Notamacropus eugenii: one gene and its partner. The protein of the gene in region 2 purifies or fractionates together with the protein of the main gene of each other region. This does not show direct contact. Links are inferred from orthologs where the notes say so. Each region holds a gene or a part of one and is shown on either strand. Other genes may lie near its edges.

Evidence for each region.
Region 1: the proteins of RPTOR (region 2) and MLST8 purify together in Homo sapiens (affinity purification with western blotting; 15 studies listed by BioGRID and IntAct, with this or other methods). This does not show direct contact. The link is inferred for Notamacropus eugenii from reciprocal best matches to the Homo sapiens genes RPTOR and MLST8.

The regions. Positions count from the first base shown.
Region 1 is NC_092872.1:47,794,118-47,806,244, forward strand, and holds the start of MLST8 (target of rapamycin complex subunit LST8), read right to left. Parts: upstream 6,251-12,127; 5' UTR 6,142-6,250; intron 5,519-6,141; exon of another isoform or gene 5,430-5,518; intron 5,036-5,429; coding exon of another isoform or gene 4,740-5,035; exon of another isoform or gene 4,656-4,739; intron 1-4,655. Other genes in the region: hexosaminidase D-like, read left to right, coding at 4,740-5,035.
Region 2 is NC_092873.1:323,389,896-323,402,096, reverse strand, and holds the start of RPTOR (regulatory-associated protein of mTOR), read right to left. Parts: upstream 5,720-12,201; 5' UTR 4,901-5,719; coding exon 4,739-4,900; intron 1-4,738. UniProt on the Homo sapiens protein: Component of the mechanistic target of rapamycin complex 1 (mTORC1), an evolutionarily conserved central nutrient sensor that stimulates anabolic reactions and macromolecule biosynthesis to promote cellular biomass generation and growth.

The DNA of each region.
Region 1 (12,127 bases), on a different chromosome or scaffold from region 2:
CAAGGATGTCTCTAAAGTTATGAACCTAGATGGCTGGAAGGCTGAAGTCTCAAAAAACTGGGAAGATGTGGCATTTAAGCGCTTGATGGTTCAGTGGGCAAAGACGCTTTTCTCAGATGTTGAAGTGAAGCATGATGAAATGGGTTCCCCATAGAAGGATGAATCCAAATCTAAGATGACCTGCTGTGAATGTGTGAATGGCTCAAAACAAACATATCCACCTTACTGAGAAGGCTGTTCAAAATTCCTACAAGGGGCAAGATTCCTAAACGGCATCAGTTTGAACAAGCTGAATTCAAGATGCTAATGGGACATCAAGATGGAGATGGTCAACAGACAACTGTTAATGAGAAGCTAGAGTTAAGAGGAGAGATTAGGGTTAGATTTATAAACCTGGGAATGCTCTGTTTTAAGGTGACAGTTGGATACATGGGAACCGATAAGATCACCAAAACAGAGAATACAGAGGCAGAAAGGAAGAGGTCCCAGCACACAGCACTGAGGTGCTCTGCTTACATAGAGTGGGAGAGGTAGGAATGATCCAGTGAAGAAAATTAAGAAGGTTAAGAGGAGAAAAAGTCAAGAAAAGTGTCATGGAAACAGAGAGGAAAAAATGTCTGAAGAGTGAGTAGCTGACTGTATCAAAAACTGCAGAGCAGTCAAATAAGATGGGGACTCAGAAAATGCCATAGCAATAAATAATTAGGAAACCAACTTGTTCAAGAGTAATTTCACCAGAGGGTGGGTGGGTTCAGAAGCCAGACCACAAATGGTTGATGAGTGAGGAGGGAGGAGAAGAAATGGAGGAAAATCGAAAAAAGGTTTCTTGAGGATGGGGAAGACATAGGCACATGGCCTTGGAGAACCTGGAGACACCCCCCATGCCATGCTTAGGTATCAGAGAACTTCAGATGAGGCTTTACACATGTCCTCATTTGTAAAATTAGAAGTCCTCTATCATGAGGCTTGTACTACCTGTGGCAGTTTCCTCTTGTCTCTAGGATAAAACAGAACCTGGATTTTCAGGCTCTCCACAATACAGCTTTGAGCTACTTTTACATGATCACTCCTTATAGAAGGAGCAACATCCCAATTCTTGTACCCCTATAAGTTAGACTAATTTTTCCATAAAAAGGCATTGAGGCTGAGGGTTCTTGGGCTTGGGAGAGGAGAGGGAACTGCATGTATTCAATGTGTGGAGGCAGCAGTGGGCTGTGAGCACGGATTGATGAGATACCTATGAACTTTTCTGAGTCCGCTGCTCCCAAGTATAAAGGAAACTGAGGAACATTACCAAGTTAGACACAAGTTACCCACTTCAATTCCTTTACTATGGAGTCTGTTCATTCTCAGCTGAGCACTGTAAATACATATTGATGCTGCCAAATGAGTTTATAAAATTCACTGTGGAAGAGAAAAAGAGAAAGAGAAGAAAATAACACAAGACAGGTGGAAAGAGCCAAATAAAACAAAAAAAGAAGAGTGCTGCCAAAGGTTAGGATAGCCAAAATTCCTAGAACAAAGAAGAAATATCTAACGAAGATATGCAGCCTTGCAACTTCTGAAATTAGCCTTTTTAAACATAAACCATTTTCGCTCAGAAACTTTCCTGAGGTCCCTCAGGCAATCCTCATTTGGGGAGACTTTACAGATAACATTATTGATGAAATGCAGAAGTGGCCTGGATTATGGTGGACAGTGACAGCAATGGGCATCTTAGGGAACTTAAAGAATAATTTTCATAATCTATCTTTAGAGAAGGAAAGAGAAATTCCATTTAAAATAACTGTAGACAATATAAAATACTTGGGTATCTATCCTAAACCCAGGAACTTTGAACACAATTACAAAATACTTTTCACACAAATAAAGTCAGATCTGAACAATGGGAAAAATAGTAATTGCTCATAGGTAGGCCAAGCCAACGTAATAAAAATGACAATTCTACCTAAATTAATTTATTTATTCAGTGCCATACCACTCAAACTACAAAAAAATTATTTTACAGAGCTAGAAAAAAATCGTAAAATTAATTTCGAATTAATCTGGAAAAACAAAAATCAAGAGAATTAATGAAAAAAATGTAAAGGAAGGTAGCCTGGCCATATCAGATCTCAAATTGTATTATAAAGCAGTAATCATCAAAACTATCTGGTACTAGTTAAGAAACAGAGTGGTGGAGCAGTGGAACACAGTAGTCACACAAGACTTAGTAGGAAATGACCATAGTAGTCTAGTATTTGATAAACCCAAAGACCCCAGCTTCGGGGACAAGAACTTACTATCTAACAACAACTTTTGGGAAAACTGGAAAGGAATATGGTAGCAACTAGGCATAGACCAACATATACCACGATAAAATCAAAATGAGTACATGATTTAAACATAAAGGATGAGACCATAAGCAAATTAGGAGAGCAAGGAGTAGTTAACCTGTCAGATCTATGGAGAAGGAAAGAATTTATGACCAAAGAAGAGACAGAGAGTATTACTAGATCTAAAATGGACGATTTTGATTATATTAAGAGTTTTGTACAAACAAAACCAATGCAAAACAAAACCAAAATTAGAAGGGAAGCAGAAAGCTGGGAAACAATTTTACACCAAGTAAACTGAAATGGAAAATCTGATAAAGGCCTTATTTCTCAAATATATACAGAACTGAGTCAAATTTATAAGAATACAAGTCATTCCCCAATTGATAAATGGTCAAGGGTGTAAATAGACAGTTTTCAGGCAAAGAAATCAAAGCTATCTATAGTCATAGTCACTATTGTTTAGAGAAATGCAGGTTAAAACAACTCTGAGGTATCGCCTCACACCTATCAGATTGGCTAACGTGACAGAAAAGGAAAATAATAAATGTTGCAGGGGATGTGGGAAAACTGGGACCCTAATACACTGTTGGTAGAGTTGTAAACTGATCCAATCATTCTGGAGAGCAATTTGGAACTACATCCAAAGGGCTATAAAATTGTACATACTTTCTGATCCAGCAATACCACTACTAGATCCATATCCCAAAGAGATTAAAAAAAGGAAAATGAACCAATTGTACAAAAATATTCATAGCAGCTTTTTTTGTGGTGGCAAAGATTTAGAGACTGAGAGGATGCTCATCAACTGGGGAATGGCTGAACAAGCTGTGATATATGATTGTAATGGAATACTACTGTGCTATGGGAAATGGTGAACAGGCTCATTTCAGAAAAACCTGGAAGGACTTACATGAACTGATGCAAAACAAAGTGAGCAGATTAAGGAGAACATTGTACCTAGTAACAGAAATACTGTACTATGATCAAACTGTGAATGACTTAGCTGTTCTCAGCAATACAAAGATCTAAGACAATTCCAAAGGACTCATGCTGAAAAATGCTATCCACCTCCAGAGAAAGAACTGATGGAGTGTGAATGCAGATCAAATCATACTATTTTTCACTTTCTGTATTTATTTCCTTTGGGTCTGTGTTTTCTTTCACAACATAACTACTATGGTAATATGTTTTACATAACTGAACATGTATAATCTATATCAAATTGCTTACTGTCTCAGAGGGGGGAGGTGAAAAAGGGAGTGGAAAAATTTGGAACTCAAAATTGTAAAAATAAAAAATGAATGTTAAAAATTGTCTTTACATGTAATTGGGGAAAAAGAAAATACTATTTTAAAAAAATCTGGTTTTAGTGACCTAAAATTATAGTTGATAAAACCAAAGAAAGGCCTTTAACAAATATATCTCTGTATTTGTATATATGCAGATAAATATATGTATGTGTACATATAAATACATAACCTACAGTATCTTTTCTTCTTGGCATTTCACTGTTCTGTACAAGGTTGACTGATTTTTTTTAGCTGTCAAAGCCTAATAAAATGGTGGGGAAATGCGTCATACTTATGCATGAAAGAGATTTATTTAAATAAGAAATTTTGGTCAAATCATTAAAAAAAAGTATTGAACCAAAGGCTCAGGCTGATGAACTGGTTTCCTCATTGCTTGAGCACAAAACAGCCAGGAGGAACTTCAGTTGTTATCTATATCTGGCTGCTGGAAAATGTATGACATTCATTGTCTTTAGATGAGAGCTTCATTCAGTTGAATCAACTAGAGATGTCTTCCATGCTTAATTTTATTGGATATCCTGCAGCTATGAAAGGACAGGAACAGAAATCTACTATGTGCCAGATACTATGCTAAATACCTTTTACAAATATCATCTCAGTTGAACCTCACAAAAAACCTGGGAGGTAGGTGCTATTACTATCCTCATTTTATAGTTCAGGGAACTGAGAAAACCAAGAAATCAAGTGACTTGCCCAGGGTGATACAGGCAGTTAATATCTGAGGTCATATTTGAACTCAAGACTTCCTGACTCCAGACCCAGCTTTCTACCCACTCTTCCAATTGCTGAATGATCTGAGTGTTCTTTTTCCTTGTCTCCACAACACTTGGCATATAGTTAGGTGCTTAATAAATGTTAAGTGACTGTCCCATTTTGTTTCAATACTGAATCTGAATTACAGTTCTGACCTGGATCTGGCCCAGCCCAGAACATTCCTCCTCACATACACTCTGCTTCATAGACAGCCATGGGATGACAAAACAATTTCCACCATGTGCTCTGTACTCTCTAACTCTATGAAGGCAGAAATAGGTCTTGGATGTTCGCATTGCAGAAAATAGGTACTTAACAGTCTAGCACAGTATTAAGCACCTACTGGGTGCAGCACCTTATGCTAAGTGCTGCCTGTACAGATACCCATTCCGAGGAGAAGGCACTGTGCAAGGGCACTGCAGAAAACGGCCCAGGTCCTGTCTGCGCAGGGCCTGAAATCGACAAGCTTCTGGTCGATTTCAGGGACACCAACAGTAACAAGCGTTTACACGCACAGGTGTCTGCTGAATGCATGAGGCCGCTCCTGAAGCACCTCTTCTGGCTTCTAGGAGCCCAAGTTCCAGAAGGTCGGACCCCCTCTCAAAGGAAAAAGAGGCTGTCCCCTTTTCACCCTCCCCGAGCACAAGGAACAAGGTAGGTGGGACCCCCTGCAGGGCGGTCAGCCCTGCAGCCCGCATTTGCGTGGCAGCCGCAAGGGGGCAGCCACCGCCTGCCAGGCCAGGGAGTGGCGCAGCCGTGCGAAGCGCAGGCGCAAGGCCTGAGAGGAGGGAGGGGCGATGGGGAGGCGAAGGGGGGCAGCCGCCGAGATTAAGCCTCGGCCGCCGCCGCTGCCATGGCGCGCATGCTCAGTTCGACACAGTCAAGTCTGTGAGGCGGGGGTTTTTAGGGTCGGGAGCCACCTTAAGCTCAGTCCCAGCCCGGGTCCGTGCGTGGAGTCGCGCCGGCTGCCTAAAGCTTCCCCTCTCTGCCCCCGACGCCGCGCAATCTGCCTCCCGAGCCCCCTGCCGCAGGGACCCAGGCACCGTACCTCACTCACACAAGGATCCCCTCTCCACCGGGGCTCAGGACGGCTGGGAGAGTCGGAACGAATCGATGGGCAGCGAACCTGAGCATAGCATCATCGATTGGATTCTTTTAGCTCTAGGGCGAAACCATGGGAGAGGAGGGGGAAGGGAAACTGGATGAGACCATAGTTCGGCGTGGTGGGGGGAACTTCTCGTCTCCTTAGGAGCCCCCTGGGGCTGTCCCCTTGCGTCTCATTTGCATATTGAAGTCCTGGTGGCCCAATCTAATGACCTTTTCTCCGTCCTTAGCCTCGTGGGCCTTTCTGCCCCATCGGACAGTGCTGACCACCATACACCTCCCCACCTGAAGGGGACCCCCGCTGTGCGCAGCAGAAATGAGAGCACGTGACCTTGCACAGGCCGTGGGCTCAACCACATCCACTACCAATTGATGTTGTCTCCTCTCCGCCGAGCTTCTCTGAAGCTTCTGCTCCTTCCTAGTGGGTTCTCCGCACCGCATCGGCTCTGGACCCCTTTTCTCCTCCCACTGCAGCTTCTTCGCAGCGCACCCCCACCTTCCAGCCCCCCAGCCTAGGACCTGGCATCGTCCTGTCATGGGGACATTAAATTGGGGCAACCTGTCCCTAGCTCCCTCTTCTCCCCTTCTCTCAGCCCCTCCCCATTTCTCTCCCCCTTTATACCGACTCCGATGAAGGTCAGCCCCTGTCCACGTACCCCTGCTTCTCATCAGATCGCCCCCGCTGTCATCTCCTCTTTCTCTCACATCTTTATTCAGCAGGCGCTTATGAAATGCCCACCAAGCGCTAGGCGAGGTGCAGGTTTACCAGCAGGCTCGTAAGGGTTAAACACGATGTCTTTTTTCTTCTGCTTTTATCCCTCTTGACCTCTGCAGCTTTTGATTGCACTGACCACATCCTCTTTCAGGATATTCTGTTTCCCTTGGATTTGAAATGCTTCTGTCTCCTGGTTCTCCTTCTGTCTGTCTAACTACTCCTCCGTCTCCTTTGTTTCCTCTCCATTCATCTCTGTCCGGGGCTTTCTCTTTTCTTTCTGTAATTTCTTTCTTGGTGATCTTGTCAGTTCCCAATCTCAATCTCTCTCTCTCTCTCTGTCTCTCTCTCTCTCTCTGTGTCTCTCTCTCTCTCCTTCTCTCCTTCTCTCTCTTCCTCCTTTTCCATATAAATACACACTTGTTTATATATACCATATATATGTATATACATGTAGATGTATGTATGTATTTCCAAGTTTCCCTCTTTAAAATGTAAGATCCTCTAGAGTTGGGACCAAGTTTTTAAAATTTTCTTTACGTCCTTGGTGCTTAGCACAGTTCCTGTGGCACAGTTAAGTGCTAGGAATTGCTTGTTGACTACTGACTGACTAACATCTTTCCTAAACTTCAAGCCACATAACCAAATAATTGCCTGCTGAGCCTCATCATCCTCTGATATCTTGGGTGGCTCTCCCCTTCCTCCATCTCAGATTCAACGTGTCCAGAACTGAACTCCATGTCTTCCATCCCTATCCCCAGACCTTTGTTGCTCACCAGTCTTATCCAATTCTTCATGACTTCATTAGGGTTTTTAAAGTATTGGAGTACTTTGCTATTTCTTTCTTCAGCTCATTTTTACAGATGAGGAAACTAAGGCAAACAGGGTTAAATGTCTTGCCCAGGGTCAAACAGCTAATGTCTGAGTCTAGATTTGAACTCAAGAAAGTGAATCTTCCTGACTTCAGGCTGAGCACTCTACCCACTGAACCACTTAGCTGCCCAAACCTACTTTTGCTATAAACTTCCTATTTTTATTAAGAGAACCACTATTATTCCTCCCCCAAACAATCAGTAGTTGAGTATTGTTAGTTTCTGGAATCCATCCATTCACCTGGCCTCCTGTCCAGTTCAAACACTCCTCACTTCTCCCTTGGATTACTACAGTAGCCTTCCAATAGGTCTCCCTGCTTCTACTCTCTCCTCTCTCTATGTCATTCTCTATATATAACCACCAAAAAAATCTTCCTAATGCCTGACCATGTCATTTCCTTGCTCAAAAATTCCCTATTTCCCCTAGGATAAGACACATATTCCTTCACCTGGAATTTAACCCAACCTGGCACCAAAATGCCTTTCCAGCATTATTTCAGCTTCTTCCCCTATGCCAACCAAACTGACTTACAGAGCATGCCCTGAACCTTCCATTTTTCACACCTACAATCCTCTGAACCCCTAACAGTTAGATGTCTTCCTTTACTTTAAGGCTCAACTTGTAGGTTATCTCCTTACAGGAAGCCTTTCCTAATCACTTTCCTTGTTACCATTTTCTCCCTTCTCAAAGTATCTTGTATTTACCTACTGTGGAATGTAGTATCCTCTCAGCAGACTGTAAACTTCTAAGGGACAGATATTATTTTTCCTTTTGCCTTTGTATCCCTAGCACTGAACACGGTATCTAACTAAATTTGTTGTTGAATCGTTTCAGTCAGTTCTGACTCTCTATGACCCTTTTGGGGGTTTTCTTGGTAAAGATGCTGGAGTGATTTGCCATTTCCTTCTCCAGCTTCTTTTACAAACTTTTTACAAACTAAGGCAAAGAGGGTTAAGTGACTGGGCCCAGGGTCACACAGCTAGTAAGTATCTGAGGCCTGATTTGCCTCAGGTCCTCCTGACTCCAGCACTGGCATTGGACCACCCAATTGCCCAATAAAAGCATGTTAAATTGGCATTTTAAATCTAGCCCCACCCAATCTATCCACTCTTATTTCACATTGTTCCCTTTTATGTGTTCTACATTCCAGCAGCACTGAGCTATTTAGCACTACCTGAATTTGGTAATATAATCTCTTCTCATCTTTCCTTCCTAGAATCTATCACTCCTTTCAATGTTCAATTCAAGGACTATCTCCTATAGAAAGCCTTTCTTCTTCTCTTTAGTTGTTAGTATCCTTTCCCTCTTTATATTATCTTGTATTTACGGAACTATGTAATTAGTCAAACATTGAATATAAGCTTATAAACTCTTTGAGAGCAGAAACGTGTGTGTGTGTGTGTGTGTGTGTGTGTGTGTGTGTTTGTTTGGATCCTTGGTAGCTTAGACACAAATGGCACTTTCCAATCCTCTATCAATGCTGGTGCCTTCCCTCTGTTCATTCTCTCCAACTCATCATTTATGTATTTTGTGTGTACATAGCATGTGGTCTCCCCTGTTAGTCTCCTTGAGAGCAGGGTCTTTTACCTTAGCACAGTGCCTGGCACAGAGTAGACAATAAATGTTTGTTGAATTGTTGAGGGGACAGACTGATACTCAGGTCTTGAAAGGGATAGACAGAGACATCTGACTTTGAGGGGAAAGAAAAATATTCAAGCTTTTTCAGATATTGACTGACAGTGGATTCTCAGAGAACAGATAAATATTCAGGACCTATCAATGACACAGGGTCAGGCTCTAAAGGGATAGAGGGTGAAAACACCCAAGGTTGCGAGGGGAGAGATGTTCTTTTTCAAATCGAGGAGAGATAACTCCTTGCCCTTCCTTGGGAGGGACATACAGACTGGGGCAATTGGATATTCAGACCCAGAGGAAATAAACAATCAGGTCCTGAAAAAGAGAGACCAAGTCAGACTTGACTCAGAGAGGAAAAATACACCCAGGGTCACCAGATAAGGAAAGGGGAAGGGAACAGGCATTTAAAAAAAAAATACCTATTTTGCACCAGGCACTTGTGCTAAACACTTTTTCAGTATGTTGTCTAATTTGATCTTAATCCTAACCTGATGAGGTAGGTGCTGTGATTATCGATCTCCATTTTACAGTTGAGGAGACTGAAGCAAGCAGAGGTTAAATGACTTGCCTAGGGTCACACAACTAGTAAGTATCTGAGCTGGCTTTGAACTCAGGTCTTCCTGACTCCAGGCCCTGTGCTCTATCCATTTAGCCACCTAGCTGAGTGAGTGAGCAGACTTCCAGTTCTGAAGGGCAGAGACAGATATTAGGGTCTAATCATTAGGCTTTGAAAATGACAGACATGAAGGGCCCATTAGAGAAAAAATGGACATCTCAGTCTGGAGAGGACAGGTATCACACCCGGAAGCAGTGTGTCACAGTAGAAAGTGAATTAATCAGCTTCGAAGTCAAAGGACCTGTATTCAGCTCCTACCAATCTTACCATCTGTGTGGTCTTGGGTAAATCATTTAGACTTTCTTAGGTCTCTGTTTTTCTTATCTTTCTAGTGGGTATAGGAATAAATGGCCCCTGAAGTCCCTTCTAGCTCCAGAGATCTGATTCTTTCATTCTGTAATTATGCATTATCATATTCAACCTTTGGAAAGGAGAAACAGAACACATGTGCCCTGAGGGAACAGAGGTCTTGACTGGGACAGGTAGATTTCCAGGCCCTGAAAGAGACAAGAATCCAAGATCGGAGTAGATAGACCAACATCCAAGCTTTTTGAGAAATAAAGACAACTAGGCCATAAAGTGAAGACAGAGACATCCAAATACTGAAAGAGGCAGATGGGCACCCAATGGAAATATTTAAACCCTGAAGAGATAGACTGACATTTAAAATCTGAGTGGACAGATGGAAATCTAGGTCCTAATAGGAATAGCAGCCTTAAAAGGCAGTTAAACATGTAGCTCCTGAGCAGAAAAGCAGACATAGAGTCCTTAAGGAGAGGAGAGGCAGGTATCTAGGATCTGAGCAGACCTATAGATAGGGATGCTCTTAAAGAACAGCTAGACTTCACCAGAAAGGGGACAGAGGAGGTAATGATGCTGGGGGTAATGGGAGCAGGGTGATGTGGTACAAAGTACAAATGCAAATATTGAGTTCAAAGTGAGTTGACTTGCCATTCTGGTCCAGCCTTTTTCACTTATTACCTGTGCACCTCTGGGCCTCCATTTTCCGTCTCTAGGTGGAAGATTCTGCAATGGACAAGGTATCTTTAAGTCTAGGGAGTTTATGAACTGATAGAATATGAAGGTGCAATGAAAAGAAGGATTTCTTGAGTTTTACCTCATAAGGTATGAGTCACTGACCACTAGGAAGCATTAGAGGAGATTAAGAAAAGAGCAGGAGAAGAAACTGTAGTTTAGACAGAAGGAGAAGTAGGCCAGGAAGCAGAGAACAAAAGGAATCACATGAAGCCAGGGGCAGACAACCTAGATGGCTTCTAGCTCTATCCCTACCTTACCTTAGACCCCAACAGAGAGCTTTGATTTGGGGCAGCTTGGCATACCCCTCTCTGGGAAATCCAGACTAACTGGGAGAATGAAGGCTGAATGACTGAGGCAGCCCAGAGGGACAATCCATGCCAAGTACAGGCTATGCTACATTTTCATCTTACTCTTCCAATCTCTTTGACTATTCCCTTCTTTAAGGGTACTTCTCCATTTCTATTACACTTGAAAAAGAGATTTTACCCAATACTCTGTTCTAGATCTCTCTCTGTATATATGTGAAGATGTACATATATGTAAATATATACTTATATAAAGATGTACATACATGTAATGATGTACAGACATGTAAAGATGTACACATATGAGAGAGGAAAAGGGAAAGGGGGAGAGAGAGAGAGAGAGAGAGAGAGAGAAATGGAGAGAGAGAGAGATCTCATCAGCTCATAAACTCCTTAGCTTTCTCCTTAGATTAGCTTGCCTGGGTTGCCAGCAGGCAGAACCTATTGAGCATGCTCCCTGAATCAAGCCCTCATTGGCCAGTCCCCCATGATATGATGAATAAAATAAGGCAAAGGCAGGTTCCCTGAGGCTCAGTAGATATCACTTACATTTATCTGCAGCAGTCCCCAACCCTCTTGCCTCATTTTTGTGGCATGTCCTAGCTAGGACATATTCTAATAGGCAGTGATGCATCCTGAAAATGACTGGAATTTCCATGTTGTTGCCCCCATGACTGTAACTTGTTGACTAATAGCCAGTCATCTGGAAGTAGACTTTGCAGCTGTTTGAACAGGGCACTGGATGTTCATCTGTCGGCCTTATCTCTCCCCACTCCAATCCATATTTGATTCATATTTGACCTTCCTAAAGCACAAGTCTGATCACACCACTCCTCACCCACCCCAGTCAACTCCAATGTCTCCCTATCACCTCTAGGATCAAATACAAAATCCTGTTTGTCTTTCAAACCTAGGTGACTTCTACCTGCCACATATTCTGATCCAGTGACATTGGCTTCCTGGCTGTTCCATGAACAAGATACTCCATCTCGTGGCTCTGGGCATTTTCTCTGGCTGTCCCCCACCTATTGGCTTCTTTGGCTTCCTTTAAGTCCCAGCTAAAAACCCATCTTCTACAAAAAACCTTTCCCAACCTGTCTCAATTTTAGTTGTTTCCCTCTCTTAAGTATTTCCTATTTAACCTGCATAGAACATGTTTGTACATATTTGTTTGTTAGCTCCTTAAGGATAAGCGACTATCTTTTGCTTGTTTTTGTATCCCCATCGCTTAGCACAGTCACCAGCACATAGTAGGTGCTTAATAAATGTTTATGAACTGACTGAGGAGGGTGCTATACCTGGGTCACTTGCTGCTGAGAAGGGAGGAGGGCATCTCTTCCCTACAGGACATGTACATCCTTCTCAGTTCATTCATTTATTACCCCGGGGGTTTTAAAGTTGCTCACCAATTCCTAGTCACTGATGGCAAGTTAAGTAACCAGTTCTCAAATGCCTTCCTTTGT
Region 2 (12,201 bases):
TTGATAGTAGGTAGGTTCTCTGGAAGTATACAGTAGTATCCAGTAGTATACATATATATAATATAACTTATATATAATATATATAACATAAAAATATTATATAACATATTGTATAATAATAAACATCACATAAATATAATAAATAATATAATGACCTAGTTAATATAACTACTAATTTTGCTAGAAGTATTAGAGTACAGGCTAGGCAACCATCTGTCAAGGATTGTCTTGAAGAGATTCCTACATTAAATGAGAGGGAACTTCTGTTGAACAGAGAAAATTTTGATGAGATTACTTGTTTCAACTCTAAAATAAAACCACTAAAAGGAGTTTCAGATACCATTACCTCTTAATTCAAGCTTAGAGCACTACGCAGCTGCAGCCTAATCTACCCACCAAATGTTTCTTATATTTAAGCAATAGGTTTTAAAAGCCTCCAGGATCCATTCAAAACTCAGAGGCAATTTTCATAAGAATGACAATTTTAATATGAAATATACTAAAGAAGTATGGTAACATTACAATAGCCATAAGGAAAGAACTTCTGCACTAAGTACTGAGAATCAACTTACTGATCTCAGAAGCCTTTTCTATATGTCTAATAACCTCAATTCTTGGAACTTCAAATAGTCTTCCTTAAATTATAGCATTATTCAAATGTGTTTTAATAATTATTACCTTGTATTTTTACTTAACTTTTCATATGGCTGTATATTGTCTCACCAGTGTAATTAAGTTCTAGTAACATTTCATTTATATCTGGCCTCCCCCACACACTCAAGCACAGTCAGTCAACAAGCATTTATCAAGTTTTTACTATGTACCAGGCACCTCCCTTTGCATGTAAGTATTATGAGTTAAGGTTGGAATATAATGAAACAACAGAAAAATTCAATGTTGTGGGTGGAGGGTTTTACTGATAGTGATGGTTGACATTATTCAAAAATTAAGAATAAATATATGAATTTGGTCAATGATTTTTTTAATTTGAAAAAAACATAATATTGAGGACTAGATATACTTAGCTCCTGTAAGAAATTATCTTTTTTCAGAAAAAAAAATTTCACTTAGTTTCATATGCACTCCTATTCTATCTCTAAGGGTTCCAAATTCTCTACAAAGGCACAACTATCAGCACCTGATGTCAGCCTGCTCCTTATCTCTAAAAATAAAATTAAAACATTAACATATTATGTCAGTGCTTTCACAGAAATAGCATTTTCTAGGTAACTGAATCATGCTAAAAAGGAAATGTTAAAAGTAGCCCTACTGCAACAAGGTACTGTGGATGACCAAAGTGAATTTTAGTCAACTTTAAATAAAAGGTGAAAGGGATAAAAAAAACTGTAGGTGCAGCTGGAGAGGCAGCATGGCAGAGACAACAGCTGACACGAATGACCACCTTCTCCCTCACTGATACTCTCTCCTCTCTAGGCTTTTAACATATTACTCTTAGTTTCCCTTTAAAAATAAAAGGTGTTGAGAATAAGCTTTTGGCATAGACAAAAAGAGATCTATCTCTAGAAAAGGAGGATGGGTTCAAATTCTGCCTCTAATACTACTTACTAACTGTGACACTTGGGAAGTCTCAGTTTCTTTTGTATGTAAAATGAGGGAGGTTGGAGTAGATTTTTTTCCAGTTATGATCCCATGATCCATCTATATATAACCACCTGCATTCTAATTAAAATACCAACTTCAGAATCCTACAAAGTGATAATGAGAGGGAAAAAATGTTCTCATTCATTTCTGAACTCACAAAGAATATTTTAACATCAGGTTTTCCCATTTTCTTTTTGTAGCTAGACAAAATGTATCCCATGAGAGTTTGGTGATAGTGAAAAGCCTTTCAACAGAAAAATGAAAAAATCATAGTACAAAATTTTTGATATTTCTAAAAGATGTATTCATTCATACACTAAATTTAGTTTTTAAATATCAACCAATGGAGGGGGGGAGGAGAGGAGAGGGATGAAGATGCCTCAGGAAAACAAGAGAAAAAAAGTTCAATCATTCTGTGGGGAGTTATTTTTCATAAATATCTAATCTGTCAATAGAAATAACAGAAGTAATTTGCTATTTTTCTTAACCCATGTCATATGGCTCAATGTAAGGCAGGAGTCTTAACAGAGCACTGCTAACTAGCTACACATAGGCAACATAATGTTAGGGTTACATTTGATTTTTGCCAGGGTGAGGATAACCAGTATCAGTTGCCACATCTTGACAGAAGAGATTCGTTATGCTGTACATGATTGGTTCCCTCACTGTTCCTGAAGAGGGTCCCTCCAATAAACTATAGCCTGAGGCTCTTTTGCCCCTTGAAGTCAATTGTGAGGGCCTCTTTTGTGAATGAACACAAATCTGGCAGTCTTACCAAATTTGTCAAAAAAAAAAAGTGCTGACAAATTTCCTTCACCAAGCTCAAGCTACATTTTATCAACCCAATACCTTAAACTTGTACCTCCCTACCCCACTCTTACCCTTAAAAAGTTTACTACGCAATTACCAATATGGATTGGCATAGCCAATACAATATATGATTATAAAGTAATGGCTACTTTAATATCTACTTCATGGAATTTGTTCTACTACTTTCATACCCCCTCACCCAGGCAGGTTAAATTACTTGAGACCAGGGATCAGATCTACATCCCACCTGAGGCCTTGAGTAAGTTACTTCCCCTTTCTGGGCCTTACAAAATCAAAGAGTTGGTCTCTAAGGTCAGTACCAACTCTAAATCTGTGATCCGATGATGAAGCAGTGAAATCAGGTACTTAGTAGAACTTTTGGATGAGTATGATGTTCAATTAACCATGAAGAAAGATGCCTTCTAGAACAATGGAATAGTCTGGCTTGTATGCCTGGAACCATAGTGATTGCTTACGGTCGTCTCTCTAATGGAAGTTTCTTAAGTGACATCCCCTCAAGTGGCTCATCAGAGAGAAGCCATGGACCCAACTTCCCAAGGCATCTTTGAATGGAAAGATAATAGTTGGTTCTAAAATTACTCCAAAAGGTCATTTACAAACTGATAGTGTAGACTATTTTCACAGCCAATGAAAATATTCTTCTCAGTAAGGTATTCAGAACTACAGGACTTTTATTTTTCTTCTCAGTGTTCTGTAAGGAGCTTATTAAGGAGTTTTGCCTTTCCCAACTTAGAATTTTAGTTTTAAAAAGTCAAAGTTAAAAGAAATCACATCACTTTTGGCCAGATGAAACATCAGATTTAGAACAAGAGCTACATTTCACAACTAGTCATTATGAAAGACTTTTCTGTCATATTAAAAACAAGATGTGATGCTTTTTTAGAAAAAAAGCAGGGTGCACCAAGATTATACTTAAAAAATTGGATGGATTTGTTTTACAAAATATTGCTATTCAAACGCTCACAGCAACCACAAGAACTACAAAGCCTTTAAATAGCATCAAAGACATACATTAACTCCAAAGGATGTCCACAATTCTTGAGGATCTTATCATTTATACTTTACTTTTTGGCTTATGAAAGATCTTCTCCATTCATTTTACAAGTAAAAGTCACCAAAATACCAAAAATACTAATGACTGGCTAAATTAGAAATTTTCCTGTGTAATTTTATACCTATTTGTTGTGATTTTTAAGGGAATACTAAAGATTTCACCTTTAGTGAAATTGGATTTAAATGAATGGAAAAAGAAGCTGGGAAATTGGTAGTCCAACTCATTTTCTTTGGTTATTGTGATGAAAGTTATGTGGATATGCAATGCATATGAATATCAGATACAGTAATACTACCTGGCTAACCCATCTTCTTCCCCACTGGAAGCCTCCCAAAGTCACTGCCAACACAAGTAGTTTCTTCTCTCCCTCCCGAAACAATAGCCTGGAATGGCGATCCACCACATTACCTAATTCACTGTACTGGAAATCCTCTCTCCAATTTCCTGCCATGTAAAATATGGAAAGTTTGGGGTTATGACAAGTTACTTAGAATGTTAAAACTGATTGGGTCTTGAAAACAGAGGGTCCATGAGAATGGTGTATATAGAGAAGCCCAAGAATACAGGAGTTCCAGACCCACCTCTGATACATATTGACTAGATCAAGTCCCTTAACCTCTCAGTGCTCTGAGCAAGTTGCACGATGTAGACCTGCATTATTACTGTTGAGAATTTTTCTTACCTAAGAGCTCCCTATAGCAATAAAATCACAGGTCCAATCCATATCTATCTTGAAAACAAAAGTTTATCTCACCAGCTGCCACCTCCGGCAGTAGTTCTGACCATATTCCATAACTTAGATTTACTTGTGGCCCCACGTGATTACCACACACTATTTACTTTTTTCATTTTAATTAGTAGTAAAAGTTTAAAAAGTAGACTAATCACTAATTATAAGCAATAGTTTGTGGTTTGTAATCGACTCTTCTCCAAGCCAGAATGGCAGGGAATATGTTCCTTGAGCTGTATACAAAATGGTAACCATAAATAAAGTAAGTTTCTTTCTACATTAATTCTAACTTTATCAGTCACCTGAAGTTTTTCAGGCTGGTCTTTCTTTTAAAAAAACAAAACAAAACTAGAGCAGAAGTACCACTTGATTGTTAGGTGCAGAAGATATGCAACATGTGGCTGGTAGACAGGACCGCACAACACCCAAGATACTGCCCCGGGCTTCACCCGGACTAGACTGAGATCCCCCTGGAGGGAAAATTACCACAGTTAAAGGGGAAGCAGAGGACGGTTATTTACCCGGTCCTTCATCCTCCAGCTCTGGGCCAAGGACTTGGAGCCCTCGATCTTCTCGCAGTGCCTCTTCTTCATGAAAGTCAAAGGCAGGTTCCAGTCGGTCAGGTCGGACTCGTCCTCCTCCCCAAGCCCGAGAAGAGGCGACTGCAGCATCTCGGACTCCATGAGGGTGGGAGGAGGTGGGGGAGTCCTGGGCAACAAACGCTCGAGAACCTCCAGCCTTAGAGAGTCGTGGGCACCAGAAAGGATGAAATATGGGAACGAGGGGTGGATGCGGGGAAAAGAGAAGCACTGGCGAGGCCGTCCCAGTATGGAGCGGGGGGCTGGCCAAGTTCCCGAGGCTTATCTCCGCGTGGGAATGCCAAGAACCCCAGGGCCAGGGGCCCACGCCCCCGGGCTTCAGGCCACACCGACTTCTTCGTGGGCTGTCGGATGGAGCCCCGAGCTGGCTGAGAATGGAGCTGTCAAAAGCGTGGGAGCCCTCGGACCTCCGATGACCCTGCTCCAGGCCACCGGGGCCGGACCGGCCTCCGGTCGATCCCGAGGAGGCGGGCGGGAAGGTCGCAAGCTGTCGCTGCCTGCGGGCCGCCGGTCAGGCGGGTGGGAGATCCGAGAGGGGGCTAGGCGACGGGGAACGGGGGACAGGGATCCTCCTCGGGGCGCTTCTCAGCCCTGCGGACCCCGCACTCTCCGGAGCTGCTGCAGCCGAAGCCAAGATCGGCCCATAGTGTCCGCCTGCGGGAGGCTTCCGTCAGGTCTACCCTGGGTTCCCGAGGCCTGGCTCGTCCCCGCCCAAAGGCTCCCCGCCACTCCCTTAGGCCTGAGGGCAGGGAGAGGGGAAACGCCAGGTACAGGACCCTCCTGGGCGACGGAGAAAGAGATCGTTTGACTTGAGGAATTTCCCCTCGTCGTCCAGGGACAGAGAGAGAAACTCCGCTCATCAGCACACCAAGGGGGACGCCATATTGCTAAGGCCCACAATGCATAGCGATCTACGGAGCCCCCAGAAGGTCAAACTTTCTGAGGAAATTCCTGGAGCTGTCCGCCAAAGCAGTAGAAAGGGAAAGTGCTACTGACACCCATCCCCTTAGTGATGAAGGAAAAAGTAGAGTAGCATTAAGGGATGTGTTTTTTCTTTTCTCTTTTCTTATTTTTTCTTTTGGAGAAAGGGAGGGGGGAAATGGAGGAGGAGGGAGAGAGAGAGAGAGAGAGAGAGAGAGAGAGAGAGAGAGAGAGAGAGAGAGAGAGAGAGAGAGAGAGAAAGGGAGAGAGAGAGATTTTTTTATTATTTGCTGTGAAGTAAAATGGAAAAGTTAATGATGACCATCTTTCTCCAATTTTCACAAAAAACACTCTTAAAGTCATAGCTCTTTCTTGATCTTGGGTGATACCAGGGGTACCTTCTTTCAAGGATTCTACTGTTTGTGAAAGTTTTATTTGGGGGGCTAGCATGGTGAAAGAAAATCAGTACAAGTTTCTATGATGACTTACTTGTGATGTCTGCAAACCCTGGAACAATTTATTTCACCTTCTGAGGCAAGTTTCTTTATATATATATATATATATATATATATATATATATATATATATATATATATATATATATATATATATATATACACACACACACACACATGCATACATACATACATGTATATATCCATATATACACACATACATGCACACATATGTATATATGTATGTGTATGCATATTTATCTTTGTGTGTACATAAGTGTGTGTATATGTATGTGTGTGTGTGTTTATAGTGAAGGAGGAATGGTATGAATAGGAATGGTATTATCAGTCTAATCCCAACTTCCCCTCCTCAAGTAATTACTATGAAGCCCCAGAGTGGTTCATTTTCATATAAAAGGACCAGCAACTTAGAGTGTGATCAGACCAAGAAAATAATCCTTCACTAAGCCACTCTTCAATTTGGACTTGACGGCTGTCAAGGAGAGAAAGTTTTCTCTCCTTTGACAATTCAAAACTCTTGAACTTCATCCCCCATTCTCTCTCATATTTCTCCTTTTCCAATCAAATCTAGGAGCATTTATTAAGCACTTATTATGTATTGTATGAGGAGAGGGTCCCATGAACAGGATACAAAGAAAAGAAAAAGAAAAAAAGAAGGCCCTGCCTTTAAGGATAGAATGGTGAGCTTGAAGTCAGAAAGCTTCATGGTTTTGAATTGAAATGTGACCTCAGACACGTACTAGCTGTGTGACCTTGGGCAGGTCACTGAACCCCATTTGTCTGTGTTCTTCATCTGTCAAATGAGCTGGAGAAGGAAATGGCAAACCACTCCAATGTCTCTTCCAAGAAAACCCCAAAATGGGTCACCAACAATTGGATATGACTCAAAAATGACTGAACATGTGGGGGGAGGAAGTAACATGGTCAGATTTGCCCTGTAGGAAAATCACTTTGGAAATTGAAAGGAGGATGGATTGGAGTAGGAGAGACCTGGAGCAGCTCAGAAAGCTGTTGCAACACTGCATGAAATGAGGTGATGAGGCTCTGCACCAGAATAGCTGATGAATGAGTATAAGAGATGGTGTGAAAGTAGAAATGACAGCTTGGGTATCATAGAAGATAGAATTCTAGGCCTGGAGTCAGGAAAACCTGAATTCAAATCCTACCTCAGGCACCAAAGGCAAGTGACTTAACCCCCTTTGCCTCAGTTTCTTCATCTGTCAAATGGATTGAAGAAGGAAATGGCAAACCAAGAAAACCCCAGATGGGGTTATGAAGAGTCAGACATAACTGAAACAGCTGAACAGCAAAAATGACAACATTTGACAACAAAGTGAATAAGTGCAGGTAAGTCAGTTTAGAGTCTGGATGACTTGGGAAGATGGCAATGCCCTCAAAATTAATATGGAAGTTGGAGGAGAGGGAAGAGTTTAAGTATATAATGAGTTATGTTTTTGGACATGTTGGGAGGTCTAATAGGTTATTGAAAGGTTATTGGAGAAGAAAGTTAGAACTGAATAAATGGATCTTCGAGTCATCATCATAGAGTTGATAACTAAATCCTTCAGAGATGATGTTGCGAAGAAAAATAGTATAGAAAGAGAAAAAGGACCAGGACAAACCCTTGAGGAACACTTAAGTTTGGTGGGTATGACCTTAATGAAGATAGCACAAAAGGGATGGAGAAGAAGTAGTCCAAAGGGTAGAAGGAGAACCATAGTGGTATGAAAATTGAGAATCCAGGACAGTGAGAATTCTCATAGCACTATATAGTTAGCAAAGAGTTTTACATCATACAGCCAGTGTCTGGGGCCCTTACATGGTACAGTGGATAGAGTGCTTGGCTTGGACTTAGGAAAAGTCATTTGGTCTCAGACACTAACTAGATGTGTGACTGGGCAAGTCATTTAACATTGCTTGCCTCCATTTCTTCATCTGTAAAATGAACTGGAGAAGAAAATGGCAAACTGCTCTAGATTCTTTGCCAAGAAAACCCCAAATAGAGTCACAAAGAATAGGACATGATTGAATAATGCTAATGTTTGAGGCAGTAATAGAACTTGGTTCTTCCTGATTCCAAGTCCAGAGCTCTATCCATTGTGCTACCTAGCTGTGACCAAAAAAGGTTGATTGGCAGTGTCAAAGGTTGCAGAGAGGTTAAGAAGTATGAAGACTGAGAAAAGGCCATTAGATTTGAGAAGTAAGTGATTATCTATAACTTTGGAGAGGACAGTTTCAGTTGAATGATGAGTTTGTAAGTCAGACTTTATAAAGGATTTAGAAAACAATGAGAGGAGAGGAAATGGAGATACTGTTTTATTGTAGAGAAGAGAGAAAGGACATTGAGACCCTAAAGTTCCAGAGTTGTGAGGTGCCTTGGCCATGTGTTCCTTACAGATGTGCCTTGTGACCACTCTTACCACAAATATTGTGTGCAGTCATGGGTAAGTACATCCCAAGTTCACAGGGAAATGCTTTATAGCTTCTGTCCTTACTATGCCATGTAAGTTAATGTCTTTCTTAAGAGTTAATTGGTTCTAATAATAATAACAACAGCCAACATTCATACAGCATTTACTATAGCATTCTAGGCATTCTGCTAAGTGTTTTGCAATTATTATCTCACTGGATTCTTATAACAACCCCGGGAGATAGATGCTATTATTATCAGGAAACTGGGCAAGTGACTTGCCCAGGGTTACACAGCCAATAACTATCAGAGGCTGTATTTGAAGTCTGGTCTTCTTGACTCCAAACTCACTGTACCACCTGCCTGCCCCTAGCTGTCAGTCTATTAATTAGCTGTTAAAAGAAAGCTGATGGGGGCTCATGAGTTACAGTTCTATATATTGGGAATGCTAATACCATAGCTGTAGTCCAAGGAATTAGTACTTATGGGATATCACCTAAAATCAGAGGCAGCATCTCTTCCCTGGGCACCTAACTTAGCTTTTCTACATCCAGTTTATTTAGGGTTCTAGTCTATTATAGTGATTTAACGTTATGGAATACTTTCTAGATAATATTGAATTAGTACTGCTATCCATGTTAGTAGAGGGAGCACCACTTATTCCTAAAGATTCCAGATTTTCCTGTATTTTTATATTCTTTTTAATGTGATACATTGTCCTAGTAACTTTTCTTGTTCTGTGACAACCTTGCATGCCAGGGACAAACCATATTTGTTCATGGCGGAGATTTTTGAATGTGTTATACTCTTTGCTAAGATTTAATTTAGTATTTTTACAACTAAATTCAAAAGAGAAGTTGGCATGTGGCTTTCATTTCTGGCTTCATCTTTGTCAGATTTTCAAAGAAAAAATATATTTGTATCATAAGAAGAATTGGGTCACACACCACTGTGGTCTGTATTCTAGAAAAATTTATGTTATATAGTTCAAAGGGACCTTAGAGACCATGTAGTCACAGATGGGAAAACTAAAGCTTAGAAAGGATAATTTGCCAAATAGTGTTTGTTCTTTAAATGTATAGAAATGCTTCTCAGTGAACCAGTACGTTCTCTCAGGTAATTATTTGACAATTTCCCTTACTTCTTACTTTGCTATATTCATCACTTTTTCCACCTATCAGTGGTTTGAACATTTTGAATTTTTTGTCAGCCTTATTAAAATCCTAAATAATTAAGTTAGATTTGTTTCAATTGCACTCCATGGCTTCTTCTGTTATAGAGAAGAGAGGAAGGACATTCTTTCTTCTAATAGAATATTGATTTTTATCTTTAATAAGCCAGTTGTCTGGCATGCAAAGATTTGGAAATGATTTCCCCATCACTGACAAGTCATTTCCTCTATATTAAAATATAGTTTCTTTTTTGTAATATTCTATAGAGAGATAACCCATGAAGCTAGTCTCTCAGCTTTTTGGTAGCAATTAGGGTTAAGTAACTTACCTGAGGCTGGTTTTGAACTTATATCCTCCTGCCTCCAGGGTCAGTGCTCTATCCATTGCACCACCTACCTGACCTAAGAGCCAGTCTTTGTAACACTGATGTTCTTTCAGCAATGCTGTATGACTGGAAATCATGCATGTCTTTGATAAATTAAAATTTTGGTTCATGCAAAGGACAATGAAGAATTAGGTAATGGACTGCAACATATAGAATTAACAACAAAGAGTTATTCAGGAAAGATTGTATAAAAGATATCATCACAGAGATATATGAACAGACAAAGAAAGTTGGGTTGACCATATAACAAGTATGAAATTGTTGTTGTTTGTCCTTTATTCTCAAAGAGGACCATGATATGAAAAAGGTCATGCCATGACTTAAAAGTGAATTGGATTTAAGTGAAGGAGGGCTGAGCAAAGTCACCAGCCTCACTTTCTCCTCCAGAGCCATCCATGTCCTGTGCAATATATAGATCAGGAGACTGTAGATGAGATGATAACCAATGAACCAATGACTAGCAAATGTGTTCTATTGGCCTACAATGTCAAGAGAGAGAAGATCTCTACCATGCTGGGTGGTTCCCTGTGGAGGATTAGGGAAAGACAGGTAGAAAAGTCACACAAGATGAGAAGATCCGTCAAGATTTTTGTCTGCACCTTTGGAGGCAGTACTCATAGTAGTCATTGATCCATTCAAGTTTCAAATATTAAAAGTACATTTTTTTCAGAAATAATTACAAATTTGCCCACTGAACTTACTGCTTTAATTTTTGTTATAAACAGTTACAAGAAACTGAAATCTAATGAATCAAGACCCGTTGTTATTTTTCATTAATAAAAAGTAAGTAAAATCCTGGTAACAGAAGAAACCATCAATACATGCCATGAACCAATTCTGCCCCTTTCTACTGCTACTATCAAGCTTGATCCCTAGAGGGCAACTATTACATGTACCCCAAAGGGTTCCTGGGATTTCCCTAAAAGCTGAGGAAATTTGAGTGTGTGTGTGTGTGTGTGTGTGTGTGTGTGTATTTTCAACATATTGAAATGTGTGTATATTTCCAATTCTCCAATATTATTGGTCATTTTCCTTTTCCGTCATATTAGACAAACTGAGAGGTGTGAGGTGGTACCTCAGAAATGCTTTAATTTGTATATGTTTAATGAATAGAATCTCAGCAATTTCTATTCTGGTATTTCATTCCTAATGTGCTTCAGAAAACTAAAGTTTTGTCCAAATGGAAATAAGGTTTTGATGCAGCATAAGGGTTCTAGAAACCCTGAAATGCAAGGATATAGGGCATGGGTCCACCTTGAAAGAATTTTACTACTCAATCCATCTTTCAATCCAAGGAGCAAGTTTATTAAGACGCGGGTTGGGTGGGTGAGATTTTGCAAGTCTGCAGTATTTGTTATGCCAATACAAGCAGCCAGATTTTAACAATCTGGGCATTTAATGAGTCTGGGACTGATTTTTATATAGAAAAAGACTGAGAAAATCTGGGTGGGATCAAGAAGTGGCAAGTAGCCTGGGGAGGTGTGGAGGTAACTAGAGAAAGGGGGGCCTAGATGGGATTAAGGAGTGTTAAGTAAACTAATTAAGTAATCAAGGAGGACTGGGATAGGCCAGATGCCTTAGGCAAATGCCAGGAACTAGGCCATGTAGCAAAGTCCAGGAGACACTAAAGGGATACATCTTCAGCACCCCATCAGTTTGACATATCATCACATATTAATTAATTCTGGATTAGGTGTAAATATTCCTAAACACTGACTAATTTCTCTCATACTGCAGTGGATAAAGATATCCACAGCAGCCAAGAAACAAGAGTTCTTCAAATACTGTAGCATGTATGCCTTGCCACAATGTTACAAAATGTTTTACTTTGAATCTCTGATTCACAACATGAATTGTCTGAGAACTTTATCTTTCGTTTTACTTTTTTCTGTGCTTACCAGAGAAATATATTAATAAGGAGATAAAGTGCAATGAAACAATAGAATGAACACAGGCTCTGGAGTCAAAAGATTTGGGTTCAAATCCCTACTCACTTGGTGATTATAGATTTCTCCTGTAAC